Macaca mulatta: one gene and its partners. The protein of the gene in region 1 purifies or fractionates together with the protein of each later gene. This does not show direct contact. Links are inferred from orthologs where the notes say so. Each region holds a gene or a part of one and is shown on either strand. Other genes may lie near its edges. The genes, in order: BCAS2, PRPF19 and CDC5L.

Region 1 (4,303 bases):
TATTGTCTCCCTCTTCTGAGTAACTCTACACAGAATTACTGTGCACATCACTTGTTTTCCATTTAATCACAAAGTGCTCTATAGTGCTTAACATTCCCCTGAGCATATTTTGTCTCCTCCAAATTCAATGGACACTTCTCCAGAGGAGGTGTACTATATTTTATCAAAGTATATTTAAGAGGAAGGGTGGGAGAAGGGAGAAGACAAACTAAACTTTCAGGGAGAGCCAATTCAAAGGAAAGCTCCCTTGTTGGTGGGCAGAGTCTGGAATAGAGCACTAAAATCAATAGTCCTCAGCATGGAGTGATCGTCGAAGTCAAGGAAAGAGGGTTGACCTGAGGGAAAGCCTAGAGAGGCACAGCTGTTTAAAGACTGAGTCTTGAGAGAATTCCAACTAATGCAGGGAAACCAGTCAGTAGAGATAGGAGAATAACTCAGGTGAACAGCAGAAAATTTGAGTCACAAAAGCCAGGAAACAATATTAGATTTAGAGCAAGAACACATTAGGGCCAGATGTGGTTAAAATGGACCCTATAGGTGATTGATCCACTGCCTTAAGAGGAAATTGATATGATGTGGAATTATATCTCAATAAAGCTGTTACTTAAACTTAAAAAAGATTCAAATCTGTTTTATTACTTCTCTGAAATAATTATATGGTACCCTGTATTATTGAACTTTTCTCCTGTGCTAGTTACAGCTGACCTGGACTGGTATCTGTTTTTTATTTTGCTGCGAATAGGTTACATGCAAATATGGACTGATATCTCAAATCTACAACAGTTTTCTTTTTCTCACCTCTCTCTAGTTAGCAGTGGACAGGAGGAGAGAATGACAGGATAAATGTATATGAAGAAATATAGAGATAAAAGGGGGTTGAGAAATAATAAGTGGATATAATCAGATATATTCCATCTTCTCTGTGACAAGAAGTCATGACAGTTAAAGAAGTGACAAAAGACTGTGTGTGATGTCTCACGCATGTAATTCCAACACTTTGAAGGCCAAGGTGGGGAGACTGCTTGAGCCCAGGAGTTCAAGACCAGCCCAGACAACACGGTGAAACCCTGTCTCTACAAAAAAATAACAAAAATTAGCCGGGCATGGTGGCTTATGCCTGTAATCCGAACTACTTTGAAGGCCTGAAGTGGGAGGATCGATTGAGCCCAGGAGGTTGAGGCTGCCATGATTATGCAGCTACACTCCAGCTTGGGCAACAGTAGAGCAAGACTCTGTCCAAAAAAAAAAAAGCCAGGTGCAGTGGCTCACGCCTGTAATCCCAGCACTTTGGGAGACCGAGGTGGATGGATTGCTTGTGGTCAGGAGTTCAAGACCAGCCTGGCCAACGTAGTGAAACCCCATCTCTGCTAAAAAAAAAAAAAAAATACAAAAATTAGCAAGGCATGGCAGTGCACGCCTGTAATCCCAGCTACTTGGGACGCTGAGGCAGGAGAATTGCTTGAACCAGGAGGCAGAGGCTGCAGTGAGCTGAGATCACACTACTTCACTCCAGCCTGGGCAACAGAATGAGACTGTCTCATAAGAAAAGCAACCTAAGTACTCAAAGTATCAGGCAGGGCATGGTAATTCCAGCAGTTTGGGAAGCCAAGGTGGGAGGATTGCGGCTCCTCGGGAGGCTGAGGCAGGAGGATTACTTGATCTTGGGAGGTGAAGGCTGCAGTGAGCCATGATCACACCACTGCATTCCAGCATGGGTGATAGTCCTTGATTATGGAGTGTCCAACATAGTTCTTGGCACAGAGCTCCAGAAATACGATTTTTAGCAAAAAAACTTGAAAAAGTTCACTTTTAATTGGTACTATTTTAATGTATTTAAATCTGATTTTCCTCTTTTCCTTCAGAAATCTAGTTCATATGATTGAACACGCACAGAAAGAACTTCAGAAATTAAGGTAAATTGTTTTTTCCTATTACAGAATGAACTTTAAGTGAACCTTTAATGAATAGAAAATAGGAGGAAAAAGAAAGCAATGAGACTGCAGCCAGGTGAAAGTAAACAATTGATCCACTCTCTTTGTTCAACATCTGGCACTGGGTTTGCCCTACCTAAGTAGACGAGTAATAGGCCTGAGGTCTGAAAACATCTCTGCCACTTGTAGCTTGCAAGTCTGCAAACATGGAAAGATGCTTTTAGAGGGGGAGAAAGTTGGAGAATAACACATATAATCTGATTTTTAAGACCGATTTCGGCCGGGCGCGGTGGCTCAAGCCTGTAATCCCAGCACTTTGGGAGGCCGAGACGGGTGGAACACGAGGTCAGGAGATCGAGACCATCCTGGCTAACACAATGAAACCCCGTCTCCACTAAAAATACAAAAAAAATTAGCCAGGCATGGTGGCGGCGCCTGTAGTCCCAGCTACTCGGGAGGCTGAGGCAGGAGAATGGCGGGAACCCGGGAGGCGGAGCTTGCAGTGAGCCGAGATCGCGCCACTGCACTCCAGCCTGGGTGACAGAGCCAGACTCCGTCTCAAAAAAAAAAAAAAAGACCGATTTCTACACACACATATAGGAAAGCCTGGAAGGACACCCAGCAAAAACTCAACAGGAGTTATCAGGAAAAAGGAGACATGCATGGGAAGAGGGACTTGAGACTTGTAATCTGTGTGTGCTCGTGTGTGTGTGTGTGTGTGTGATTTCTCACAATGAGCATGTTTTATGAAACTTGTAATCAAAAAATAATTAGAAGAACGGTAATTTCTACAGTTAGCCTATAACTGTACATGATATTGTTCTCATGGGATTAAGATATTCTCTTGTGTTACAGAGTTTTCTGTTGATTTTTGGTCTTACATTAAAATGTCATTAGGTTGTATAATTTTTTACAGAAAACATATTCAAGATTTAAACTGGCAGAGAAAGAACATGCAGCTCACAGCTGGATCTAAATTGAGAGAAATGGAGTCAAAGTGAGTATCTATAATTCCATCATCTTTTAAATTGTTTAGCCCAGTCTAAGGTCGATTCAATAATATGATTCAAATAGCATTCATGTGGGATGCCATAGGTGTCAAAGAAAATGCTGTTTTCTGAATTCACCCTTCACTGTCTCTGCCTTTCTGTAAGGTGTTAAAGAGAACTATAAACGAGAATTGAACCATTGGTGAAGGATCCTTTGCTAAATTGAACCACTGCTAAAGGATTCTGGTCTTAGAATACCCTGTTTTTAGTCTAGTATTTTTGGCCTTGAATAGAATTCTACCTTTATTCTCCTTTTAAATGGAAAAAAAAAATAGCCAGCTACAGTGGCACATGCCTGTAGTCCCAGCTACTGTGGAGGCTGAGGCAGGAGGATTGCTTAGCCTGGGAGGTTGAAGCTGCAGTGAGCCATAATCGCACCAATGCACTCCAGCCTGGGCAACAGAGTGAGACCTCGTCTTAAAAAAAAAAAGGAAAAAAATTAATTTTATAAAATATTGTAGGCAGGGAGATTTCATACTTTTCTTGATAATTTGTTTGTACCTCAGGTTTATACATTTTAAAAAATGTTCTTTTACATACACACGTATGCCTTTATACAGTATCTTGAATATTTGTGTCATTTCTCTCTTCTTTTTTGCTTTCCCATTCCCTTTGTCCCTTCATTACTCAAGTTATTCTCCTTGTTCTACCATCTCCATGTACGTGTTATCAGTCTCTTTGGTACCCTTTCATGTTTTTTCCTCAATTTAATAAACTGTTGCCTCTTTCCTTTTTGTTGATTAAATTAGATACTGTCTTCATCACTCTTTCCTATTTCTTCTGGTTTACAAGTTCTCTCATCTGTTTCTAATTTGCTTTTTTATTAGTTGAACTTTTGAGATAATTGTAGATTCACATGCAGTTGTAAGAAATAATACAGAGAGCCAGGTGTGGTGACTCACATTGTAATCCTAGTGCCTTGGTAGGCCAAGGTAGGAGGATTGCTTGAAGCCAGGAGTTCAAGATGAGCCTGGGCAACATAACAAGACCCTGTCTCTACAAAAAAAAATGTTTTTAAATGAACCCAGGCATGATGGCATGCACCTGTAGTCTTAGCTCCTCGGGAGGCTAAGGTGGAAGGATTGCTTGAGCTCAGGAGTTCCAGGCTGCAGTGAGCTGTGATCACACCACTGCATTCCAGCCTAGTCAACAGAGCAAGACCCTATCTCTGGGAAAAAAAAAAAAAAAAGAAAGAAAGAAAGAATACAGATTCCATGTACCCTTTACCTACTTTTCCACAATTGTGCCTTGATTTTTTTTTAATGGAGAGTTGAAAGTAAAGTTTAGGCTGGGTGCAGTGGCTCACCTGAGATCAGGAGTTTG
Region 2 (5,787 bases), on another chromosome or scaffold:
TTTCCCATCCCTACTTTCCCTAATTTACTGGCAAATTCCAGCTGTCATGCCGTCACCTCTCTAAAAGTGGATAACAACACTGCTGCTGCTGCTATTTATTGATTGCCCTCTTTGTGTCAGGCACTGTGCCAGACAGTCCTGCAGGATGTATTCAATCATTCAGTTCATAATTCTAGAGCACCTACTACGTACCAGGCGCTCTCAGTGCTGGGGATACAACAAAGAATAAAACAAAACCCTGATGTCACAAAACCCTGATGATGATTATCTAAATAATTCTCCATCCTTCCCACCCCCAAGTCCTAACTCAGCGATGCATTCTCTTCAAGTGGGGAAGATGCTAATTCTCTTGCAGGAACTCACCCACTCATCCTGCAAGGCTTTCAGAATGGCCGGGATGCTGGTGGCTGAGGGAGGCTTGGGCCGGATTGGGTGAGCAACTGCCGAAAGGGAAAGTAGGTATGAAGAGCATAACCCAGGGACCTCCCCTGCCATCACATCTTTTCCTTTTAGCCATAAACAGCCCACCATCTCCTCCTCCAGTGCATTGGCACCACCTCCCATCCTCTCAGGCTCTGAGCTAAGATGGCCCTAGACTAAGGCAGCCAATAGGCACCTTTGATGTCGATGAGCTGCTCCTCGGAGAGAGGCTGGTTGTTGATGGGGTCGGTACCATTCTCTGCAATGTACTTCTCAATGAGCCGCCGCTCATAAACATGATTAGAGACAGGGGACACACATGGGTGCTCCGGCACTTCATTAGAGACTGTAGAGAAAAGGCCGGCAGTGAGCTTGGAGTGAAGGCAATCTTGAGCCTAGAGGATTCCTCATCTGCTATTAGCCCCAACAAGACTAGGCATCCTCACAATCAACTAGCAAAAAGCAAGACATCTGACCCTAAGCCAGTTCTGTACTGGCCCCAGAATGCTTTCCAGCTGTGGAACTAGCTTTTCCTTTAGTCTCCTGACAATCAGATAGTCAACAAATAATTATTAACAACTACTATGTGCCAAGCACCTAGAGAACAGCAGTCCATTATCGCCACCTAATATCTGAACAATGATTGTGTACTCTATGAATACAGTTTACTCCATGACATGGAGACACACATGAAGCCATTCAAATCCCTTCCATCCATCTTAGTCTATAGCTCCAGAGGGATTATCAAAGAAATCATAAAGTCTGAGAATATAGGAATAACAAACTCAGTTTCTCCTATTCTCTCACAAAACAAAATACTTCTGTGACCTCAGATGTGACCATCCGGGTGTCCTCCAATTCAATTCTGACACCAGGTACCTGGAGATAGTGTCAGATCACACGGGTTGAGGTCTCAGTCCCACCAGACTCCCCCACCCCTTCAGATGCCAATCGCAAGCTCCAGGTTGTTTGACCTGTTCTTCTGATCTACCAGCTGTAAATCAGGGTTCCCATGACCCCCTTTTTGGGTTCAATTAATTTTCAACAGTGACTCACAGAATTGTGGGAAACACTTATGTTGACCAGTTTATTATAAAGGATATTACAAAGGGTATAGATGAAGAGGTGCATAGGATGAGGTATGGGAGAAGGAGTACAGAGCTTCCCATGCCCTCCCTGGGCACCCCACCCTCCAGGAACGCCCACATGTTCTGCTATACAGAAGCTCTTTGAATCCTGCCCTTTTGTATTTTTATGAAAACTTCATTACAAAGGCATGATTCAATAAATCACTGGTCACTAGTGACAACTTCAGCCCCTCTCGTTCCCCAGGTAAGTGGGGGGTAGGACTGAAAATCCCAACTTTCTAATACCCTTTAGTCTTTCTAGGTGACCAGTCCCCATCCTGAAGCTATTGACGTCTGCCAGCTACCAGTCAACTGATTAGGATACAGGCAGACACTTATCACCTGGAAGATTCCAAGGAGCAAAGTGGCAATCATTACAATAAAAATATTTACATGGCACATGTCTATGTGCCAAGCACAATTCTAGGCATACAGTACAGTAATTCATGTTCACAACAACCCGCAATAGAGGTATCATTTACACTCTTGCCTGCATAGACTGTGCGCCCCTTGAGGATAAGGATTACAGCTGGTCTCTCACTTCCAGTACAATGCAGATGCCCCCGGGGCACTCGGTAAACATCTAACGAATGAGTGAACCCTGCCAGGAAAGATAGTGCTGGGGAACGTAAAAGAGAGCTTTCCCAAGACTGGAAGGAAACAATGAATATGAAGGTACTTTGCGAGCTGTAATTTCTTCAATGTGAGGGATTCCTTTTCCATCATTTCCCTTCCTTCTTCCCCCTCTCTGGATCAACGTACAGGTTCTGAGAAGAGACGGAGGTGAATAGCAAAAGGGAGGGGAAACGAGTAATCTGATGAAACAACGAAAAGGGAAAGGAAAACGTATGTACGTCATGATAAAATATCAAAGGGAAAGATAGTGGAAGGTATGGAAAAAGCAAGGATTCAGGCTCCAAACTCCGTGTCACCTAACTACGTCACCCAGCTCTGCCATTGACTAGCTACGCATTCTTAGATAAGCCCCGCTCTTCCTGAGCCTTGCCTCCTCATTTGCAACACCAGGATCTTTTCTCCTTTAGGGAATTCTTGTGAGGATAAAATGAGATCCTAGACTTGGAAGCGCGTTGTAAACCAATAAGGGCTTTATAAATGTGCGCTGTTTTTAATTAGTCATACACTGTAAGGCTGGGAGCCATATACCTAGCTGCCAGCCTTGCCTACCTCTAACTCATCATGTGACCTTTACAAATTGCAAAAGCTGCGACTATCCGAGCAAGGCCTCACAAAATATCCAGTGCAATGCTCTCAATTTTGCAGATGGGGAAACCGAGGCACAGAGCCTTAAGCCAATTCACAAAGCCAACAGGAGGCGGACCCTGGACAAGACCTCGGGTTTCCTGACTCTTACATCAAGGCTGTTTCCCCTGCACCAGCTCCCTCTGTCCAGGCCTGTTTCCACTCGGTAGAATGAGGCGACCTGCCTCAGTAATGCCTGCGACAATAAACCTCCGGCACTATGTAAACTGCGGAGCACTGCGCAAATGCACCCCGCTCCGAGGGGAGGGCTCCGGGGCTGACAGGCCGCCGCTCTGCCTCTGGAGCGCCCCATTCCCGCCTCCACCCCGGCCCCGGCCCCGGCGCCGCAGTGGCCCGCACACGCTCCCGCGCCGCTCTCCGGCCTCCTGCGACCCGCGCTCGGCCGCAGGCAACACTCACTGGAGCAGATTAGGGACATGGCGCCGTTGCCGCGCTCCCAGGCGCCACACGCCGGACTCCGGGACTGGCTTCTGAGCCTCCGCGAGCCACTTCCGGTCCCCCGCTGCTGCCGGGACTGCTCAGCTGCGAGCTGGGAGCCGCCAGTCGAGCGATGCTCGCGTAGCGCTTCACGTGGGAATGGGGACAGCCGCGCGCCACTGCCTCCAGCACCTAACGGAAATAGACCTTTCCCAGAATGCAGCCGGGCAGGAAAGGGCCCGCCACGAACACTCGGTTATTTCCGGATTGACTCGGCTCGTTCCGTAAAGCGCCCGGGGATTGGCGGGGGCGTCGGAAGAGAGGAGACTCGAAACTACATTTCCCATGATGCAGTGAGAACTTAAAACCAAAGCAATTGGACAGCACTTGTTTTGACAACTGTGCGGCACTGTGTCACGGGACCCTGGTCTTTGAAACCTTGGTGTGCGCGAGAATTTCCCAATTTCCCATTGTTAAAATGCAGATTCCTCGGATCTGCGTAGACAGACTGCGCCCCACGCTATTCTAAGTCAGGTGTTTCTCGGGCCACCCTTTAAGAGACACTGCTGGATGGCCTGGTGTTAAAAATACAGAGGCAGATGGGTACAGGAACTAAGAAAACGGCTAAGACAGCGTTTTGGTCCTGACTACTACCGTTTCGCTCTGTGATTTGGGGCAATTCACATTGGCTTCCCTGCCCTTTCTTCTTTGTCAAAAGACAAAATCACAACAAATTTAGTTTAAAGTTTTTTGTTTGTTTTTGTTTTTTGGTTTTGTTTTGTTTTTGTTTTTGTTTTTAAGAGACGGACTCTGGCAATGTTGCCCAGGCTGGAACGCAGTGGCTATTCACAGGTGCAATCGTAGCAATCATGGCTATCACAGGTGCATCCTGGAACTCCTGGGCTCAAGTGATCCTTCTGCCTCAGCCTCCAGAGTAGCTCTGGGACTTAGGGTGCAATTCTATAAAATTGGGCAGCGCCTTACACTATAAAATCTAATGGTTGTTCCAATGAGCTGAACAGGGGAGCTTGGTTTTTTAGACAGAAAAGGACTGAGGAAAACAGAAACAGAACAAAAATGGGATTGGTCATTTGGTAATCTCAAAATTACTTTTCTTGTAAAGGTTAAAGTGGAGGGTACTTCTTTATCATGCCATGTAAAACTTGCCTGTTTGGGAATTTAGCTCTCCCCGCCAACACACATGCACACACACACTCTCTCTCAGAAGGTCATAAAGATCTTAGTTTCAGCTCATTGGGGTGGAACTTCGGCAGGACTCTTTTTAGCTTGGTCTGTTAGGCCTAGCGCAAGAGCTCAGTCCAAACCAGTGGCCTCTTATCAATTTATTTTGTATTTTCTGTTTCTCTTCCAGCTCAGATAGTGTATGATTCTTTGTGGATATCTGTAAGATAAGATACTCTCAGGAATCATGCAAAAGACATGTGGTGTGGACTATAAGGTATCAAGACAAACGGGCAGGATGAACAGGATGTGTGAGTGAGAGGGACTTTGACAGGTGGGCAGTATTCAGAGGAGAAGGAGAAGGAAAGGCATTCCAGAAGGAGAAACAATGTAAGCAAAAGCTTGGAGAGAAAAATAAAAGTTACAGGTACAAAAGGTAGTATGGCATAGTGGCCAAGAGCATGGACTCTGAAGTCAGACTGTGTGCTCAAATCCTAGCACCACCCAGGTGATTAACTGTATGAACTTCTCTATGCCTTAGTTTCCTCATCTGTAAAACAGAGGGAGTGATGACAGGGGTAGAACTAACTCGCTGAACTCTTATGAGGAGTTAATATGCAAAAGGGCATTTCATCTCTCTCTTGCACCAACAAAGTAGCTTGCCACTTGTTCCTTGCTTCCAGCCTGGCCTCCTCCTCCTAATCTACTTTCCACAGAGCAGCCAGTGATCCGCTTTGAATGAAATATCGATTCATGTTATTCCCCAGGCATTTCATTCATCCAACAAATATTGATTGGGTACTTCCTATGTGCCAAGCCCTATTCTAAAAACTGGAGATAGAAAAGGTCAACAAGAAAGACACAGTTTCTGCTCTTTTGGAGCTTACACTGTACTGGGAGTGGTGGGAGCACAGAGACAATCAACACTTAAGAAGAAAATTCCAGAGTAGTAGTGCTATGAATGCAACAAATCAGAGCAAAGTAGACAGAGGTGCTGGGGATTGGAGGAATGGCTGCTTTAGACAGGGCACTTAGAGAGTGCATCTTTGAGGAGCTGATTTTTTTTTCGCTGAGAACTGAATGAGGGTATGGAGCAAAAAAGTTTCTCCTCTGCCCTCTAAAGATTTGCTGAAATTAACTGACAAACGACAGAATAACAGGAGAAACGACATACAAGTGTATTAGTGTGCAAGTGTGCACAGCAGTCATACAAAATATGAGGCTCAAAGAAGGAACAGGTGGCTGATGCTTACTTAAATGGCACCCAGGAAAGAGGGAGATGGGGGAAATGTAGGCAATTTTGAGGGCTAGCAAATAATTTTTAGGGGAAATGAATGAGCCCCAAGAACAGACAATGCCT
Region 3 (5,299 bases), on another chromosome or scaffold:
AAACCAAGATGTATTTGTTTTTAAGACTAACCGATAACATCTTTTCTTTGCTAGATTGAAGCAATGTCCAAAAGACTACCTACGTGTATTTTAGAGAAGCATAATGAATTTGACAAAATGTATTTAAATTTCCATATATGTATTTTTAAGAATGTCCATCAAAATATTGTGAGTATATTAATTATGTGAGGATACATTATTAATGACATAAATTATTTACTTCAGAAGTTTTTTCAATATTAAAAAGAACTAGGTAGAGATCTTGAGACATTTAATGGCTGTTCTTCATTCTTCGAGCCTACTGACACATTCAGCCGAACTCACGCTTCTTTCAGTACAGTTACCCACCTGCTTTCGAGCATCCACATCGGCAGCATCTTCAATGTAAGTATCATCTACTTCACGTTCTTCCAGCTCCTTCTCGGCATTTTCTGGTAGAACAATTTCAAAATCATTCTTAGGGGCAGGAAGGCCCAACAACCCTAAACGGAGATGTTCTCGAGATTCTCTTTCCTGTAGAAAAGAAGTGGTCCTTCTCAATTCATGCATATTAAATATTCAACCAGAATTTTATGAGTCTTAAAAATTGATAGCACAACAGTCTAGTCAAAATAACTGTACAATTTAAAATAACTAAGAGAATAATTGGATGGTTTCTAACACAAAGGTTAAATGCTTGAGGGGATGCATACCCCATTTTCCATGGTGTGATTATTACACATGCATGCCTGTATCAAGATATCTCATATACCCCATAAACATATACACCTACTACGTATCCACAAAAATTAAAAATTATAGACAGAGAAAAAAAAGTCTCAAAAAAAATCAGCCTAATATTAATTCTAGAAAAATAATCCTGACTTCAGAGCTAAGACAAGGCTTTTGTTTATTTTCTATCCCCTCTTCTTCCCAACATTAAGACCAATCAAACACTTTCACTTGTGATCACTGAAGATACTCTGGGATATTCCAACAGGAGGTTTGAGGCCAGGGCAGAAAAAAAGACCACTATAATTTTCATTTGAGGGAACACATTTCTGACACCGAAAGTTAACAGCAAATGAAAAGAACAGGTTCAAAAGTTAGTCTGTCCTTGGACTAATAAAACCCACTCTGAAAGATACTTGAATTTGTATGTATATGTTTATTGTTAATAAAAATACTAAATCCCATGCAGACGAAAGAAAGTAGAGTCCTGGTTCCCAAAAAACCCTCCTGGTACCCAGAGGTTTTCCAGTCCATCCTCAGTACTGACATGTACCAGGTGTGAGGAACAGATGAGTTGCTATGTCTAAAACATCCTCCGTGCTTACTCATATTGTAGTCTCCATCTGGGACAGCCCCCACCCTCCTTCGGAACATACCTCTTCCAATAAGGCTTTCCTGTTACCCAACAAATGTGATTATTCCCTTCTTTAACTACCCTAAGCACATTGGCTTTACTCAAAGGGCTTATTCTGTTCTGATATTACAATTATTTTTGGACTTAGTTTAGTACTGCCAATCTCCCCAGAATATAAATTTCCTCAGGACAAAGGACATCTATATTCAACTTTAGATCCCCTCAAATGTCCAAATGCACACTCCGCACTCATGAGGTTCTTAATCTGTTTAATTCTTATGTATCCATTCAGAGTTGGCTTTAGTTGATATCAATTTGAACTTTAAGAAACATACATAAATCAACCAAATATATATATGAAGTTAGAATTAATTTTAAACTGAAGACAAGCCAGTATAATTAGAAGTTTTTTTCTTTTTAATTTCACAATGATTTATGTGGCATTAGGTAATAAGGCCCAATAGCAAAGTAATAAATGCAATAACACGGGCAGAAGCAAAACTTAACTTTTACAATTAGCTTTCTACCTCACCTTGCTGAAGAAAACTTCAGTGAAATCAACAACAAGCATCAATATTCACAAACCTAGTAAGCATAAAGAAAGATGGGTTTTGAGCCCAAAATATTCCCTTTCATCAAGTCTTACAGATCATTCTCTTTTTCTGGCATCCACAGGTGTATAGATTCTTAAGGTATACGTGATATGCACTAACAGGAGAAATTTTAATTTGGCACCCATGAGATATTAAAAAAAAATTTAAGAGTATTAAAAGGGAATTGACATTTACCATCTGCTTCACATAAGAGGGATCACTATAGTCTGCCATTCCATCCTCAGGATTAATGTTTAACTTGTCTCGAAGAGGAGTTCTACCCGGGGTAGAGTTAATAACCGGTTTGGGAGTTGTTCCACTCCGGGGAGTCAGCCCTTCAGCTCCATTAGAAGGAGTCCTAGAAAGACAGGAATCCCAATTAACAGAAGTGCCACTTATATTTAGATTGTGCTTTCAAATGTTTTTCACATAAATTATTTCACAGGAAATATAGAAAAAAAAGGAATAAAGATTTCAGAAATTCTGTCTAGCTGGTTTTGTTAGGATCTCTAGGTTAAAATCAATGTTTGGTCTAGCTAGCATGGTATTTTTATTTTATTGACTTAAAATAATCACTATATTTGATATTTTCTTGCCTTCCTAAACTGCGCCCACTAAACATTATTTCCACTTTTTCTTGGCACATTAGGGCGGCTAGGAACATGCAGCGGGCAGGGAGGTGGGCCACCACACTCAATGACCCCAGATGACTCTTCGAGTTTGGTGTATATTTGTCTCCTACCCTCCCTATCAAGCTGTTGGTTCTCACATCATTGTCACTGTCATTATTACCAAAGTACACACTTTAAATAGTTCCTCCTTTTACATTTTGTTTAGAAACCAAACACCACACTTTTGGAATCACATGTAAACATGAGTAAGTTCCTGAGGGAGGCCTAAGAGATTCTCCTAGGAATAAGATCCACAGAATCTGCAGCAACCTATACTTTAAATATTCAAAGCCTTTTTTTCCCCTGGTTGCCTATTTCCTGTATATTGGTGTGTTGCAGAATGGTGACGCTGCCAGACAGCTATTCCTGGTAAGTAAGGTGTTATCACATAAGACATGGTTCCCGCCCCCAAGGATTTTACAATCGAGGTGAGAGACAAGACATACAGTTGTCCCTAAGTATTCACAGGGGATCGGCGGATTAGTTCCAGGACCAAAATCTGCAGACACTCAAGTCCCTGATACAAAACGGCATCGTATTTGCATATAACGTATGCACACCTTCCCATGTACTTTTAAATCATCTCTAGGTTACTTATAATACCCAATACAATGTAAACGCTATATAAATTGTTGTTATATTGTATTTTTATTTGTGTTATTTTTTATTGTTGTACTGAGTTTTTTAGAATATTTTTTATCCACAGTTGGTTGAATCCACAAATGTGGAACCCTCAGATACAGAGGGCCAACTAAACATAGGAAGTGAGGTATTAGGCTCTCTTATAAGACACTCAAGAAGTGTTAAATGTCTACGACTGGCTGTCAATGCTTCTTGGTTCTGCTGTCATGACACCTGTAATAGCCTGAAGTGCTTTCTCTACTAAATAACCAGTAGGAGGACATATCTTAACACTTAAAATTCAAAGTAAACCCCAAATATATCCAACCACTGTAAGTTCCAATTCCATTTTACTACTACATGCTTCCATAACATTTGTATTTTAAAGATTCTTCTTAAAAAACAGCAGCTTAAAACTAAGCAAAAGAGTTATAAAGAAATACTGAATTCCAGTTAATGCATGTGGAAGTGTTTAGGGATCAAGCAAACTGATATCTGCAAGTTACTTTGAAACTCATTAAAAAATATGATGGATTGGTGGATGGATATGCAATAAAGCAGATACAGTAAAATATTAACGATCTTAGAATCTAAGTGGTAGGTATATGGATGTTCACTTTACCATTTGTCAACTTCAACAGGTGAGAGACTGGGTCTCCAAAACAGAGTTTATTTGGGAACAGCAAGGGATTACAATGTGGGATATGTGTGCTATAACAGACCATAGGTATACCTGAGAGTGCTGGGGCAAGGAGAAGTTTTTAAAGATACAAGGGAGGAGTCTACGTAAACTGTTTTGAAACAAAGACCATTGGTTACAGGGACTTAATCACAGGAGGTGGCATTTGTTTTCATTGCCGGTATACATAACAGTATCCTTTATCTGAAATGGGGGACCAGAAGAGTTTTAGATACGGGATTTTTTTTCAGATTTGGGGATAATTCCATTATACTTACTGGTTGAGCATGGCAAATCAGGAAATTTGAAATCTGAAACGTTTCAATGCGCATTTCCTTTGAGTGTCATATTGGTGCTCAAAAAGTCTGGATTTAGGCCGGGCACAGTGGCTCAAACCTGTAATGCCAGCACTTTGGGAGGCTGAGGTGGGTGGATTACCTGAGGTCAGGAGTTCGAGACCAGCCTGACCATCATGGAGAAACCCCATCTCTACTAAAAATACAAAATTAGCCGGGCACAGCGGCGCAAGACTGTAATCCCAGCTACTCGGGAGCCCGAGGCAGGAGAATTGCTTGAACCTAGGAGGCAGAGGTTGTGATGAGCCAAGTTCACACCATTGCACTCTAGTCTGGGCAACAAGAGCGAAACTCCGTCTCAAAAAAAAAAAATTTGGATTTTGGAGCCTTCTGGATTTTCAGATTTGGGATGCTCAACCTGTACTGGCTGTTGGTAGGGCAACATCTTCACAGAAGCAACTTATCTGGAATTTGTGTGGTTTTCAGAAGATCCCTGGAATAATTTCTGTCATGGGCATATATGCATGAGGGTTCCTTTTTCATTAAAATGTAACATTAAGTGACTCCATTTCAATACTGATAACTTCCACACATTCTTTCAACCTTTCTAAATGCCTGAAATTTTCATAATAAAATGCTGGAGGGAAAGCAATACATAAAAGGATTACAATTTTAATAAAATTCACAAAGTAATCATTAAAAATGAATCAATCTACTCTAAAATCAAACACAAAGTATTCAAAAATAACGTGATAGGATCCGAAGTTTTGCAAAAGGACACTCCAATTAGACAGGTGTGGTGGCAGACGCCTGTAATCCCAGCTACTTGGGAGGCTGAGGCATGAGAATCGCTTGAACCCGGGAGGCAGATAGGTTCCGTAAGCTGAGATCGTGCTACTGCACTCCAGCCTGGGTGGCAGAGCGAGACTCCATCTTTAAAAAAAAAAAAGGGAGAGGCACTCCACAGTATTTAACCATTTCCCAGACACTATCATTTATTACTGTGAAGAAGAAATCAAAGAGGAAAACTCAACACAATAAGTATTAGCTCTCCATAAACATTACTAAAGCAAACATGCTAAGTCCTTGAATTC

What was found.
Region 2: the proteins of BCAS2 (region 1) and PRPF19 purify together in Homo sapiens (co-immunoprecipitation; 10 studies listed by BioGRID and IntAct, counting the BioPlex papers as one, with this or other methods). This does not show direct contact. The link is inferred for Macaca mulatta from reciprocal best matches to the Homo sapiens genes BCAS2 and PRPF19.
Region 3: the proteins of BCAS2 (region 1) and CDC5L purify together in Homo sapiens (co-immunoprecipitation; 8 studies listed by BioGRID and IntAct, with this or other methods). This does not show direct contact. The link is inferred for Macaca mulatta from reciprocal best matches to the Homo sapiens genes BCAS2 and CDC5L.

Annotation. Positions count from the first base shown.
Region 1 is NC_133406.1:125,681,883-125,686,185, forward strand, and holds part of BCAS2 (pre-mRNA-splicing factor SPF27), read left to right. Parts: intron 1-1,862; coding exon 1,863-1,913; intron 1,914-2,847; coding exon 2,848-2,928; intron 2,929-4,303. UniProt on the Homo sapiens protein: Required for pre-mRNA splicing as component of the activated spliceosome. Component of the PRP19-CDC5L complex that forms an integral part of the spliceosome and is required for activating pre-mRNA splicing.
Region 2 is NC_133419.1:13,165,007-13,170,793, reverse strand, and holds the start of PRPF19 (pre-mRNA-processing factor 19), read right to left. Parts: upstream 3,448-5,787; 5' UTR 3,247-3,447; coding exon 3,228-3,246; intron 2,315-3,227; exon of another isoform or gene 2,227-2,314; intron 767-2,226; coding exon 617-766; intron 441-616; coding exon 364-440; intron 1-363. UniProt on the Homo sapiens protein: Ubiquitin-protein ligase which is a core component of several complexes mainly involved pre-mRNA splicing and DNA repair. Required for pre-mRNA splicing as component of the spliceosome.
Region 3 is NC_133409.1:137,687,622-137,692,920, forward strand, and holds part of CDC5L (cell division cycle 5-like protein), read right to left. Parts: intron 2,297-5,299; coding exon 2,134-2,296; intron 514-2,133; coding exon 349-513; intron 1-348.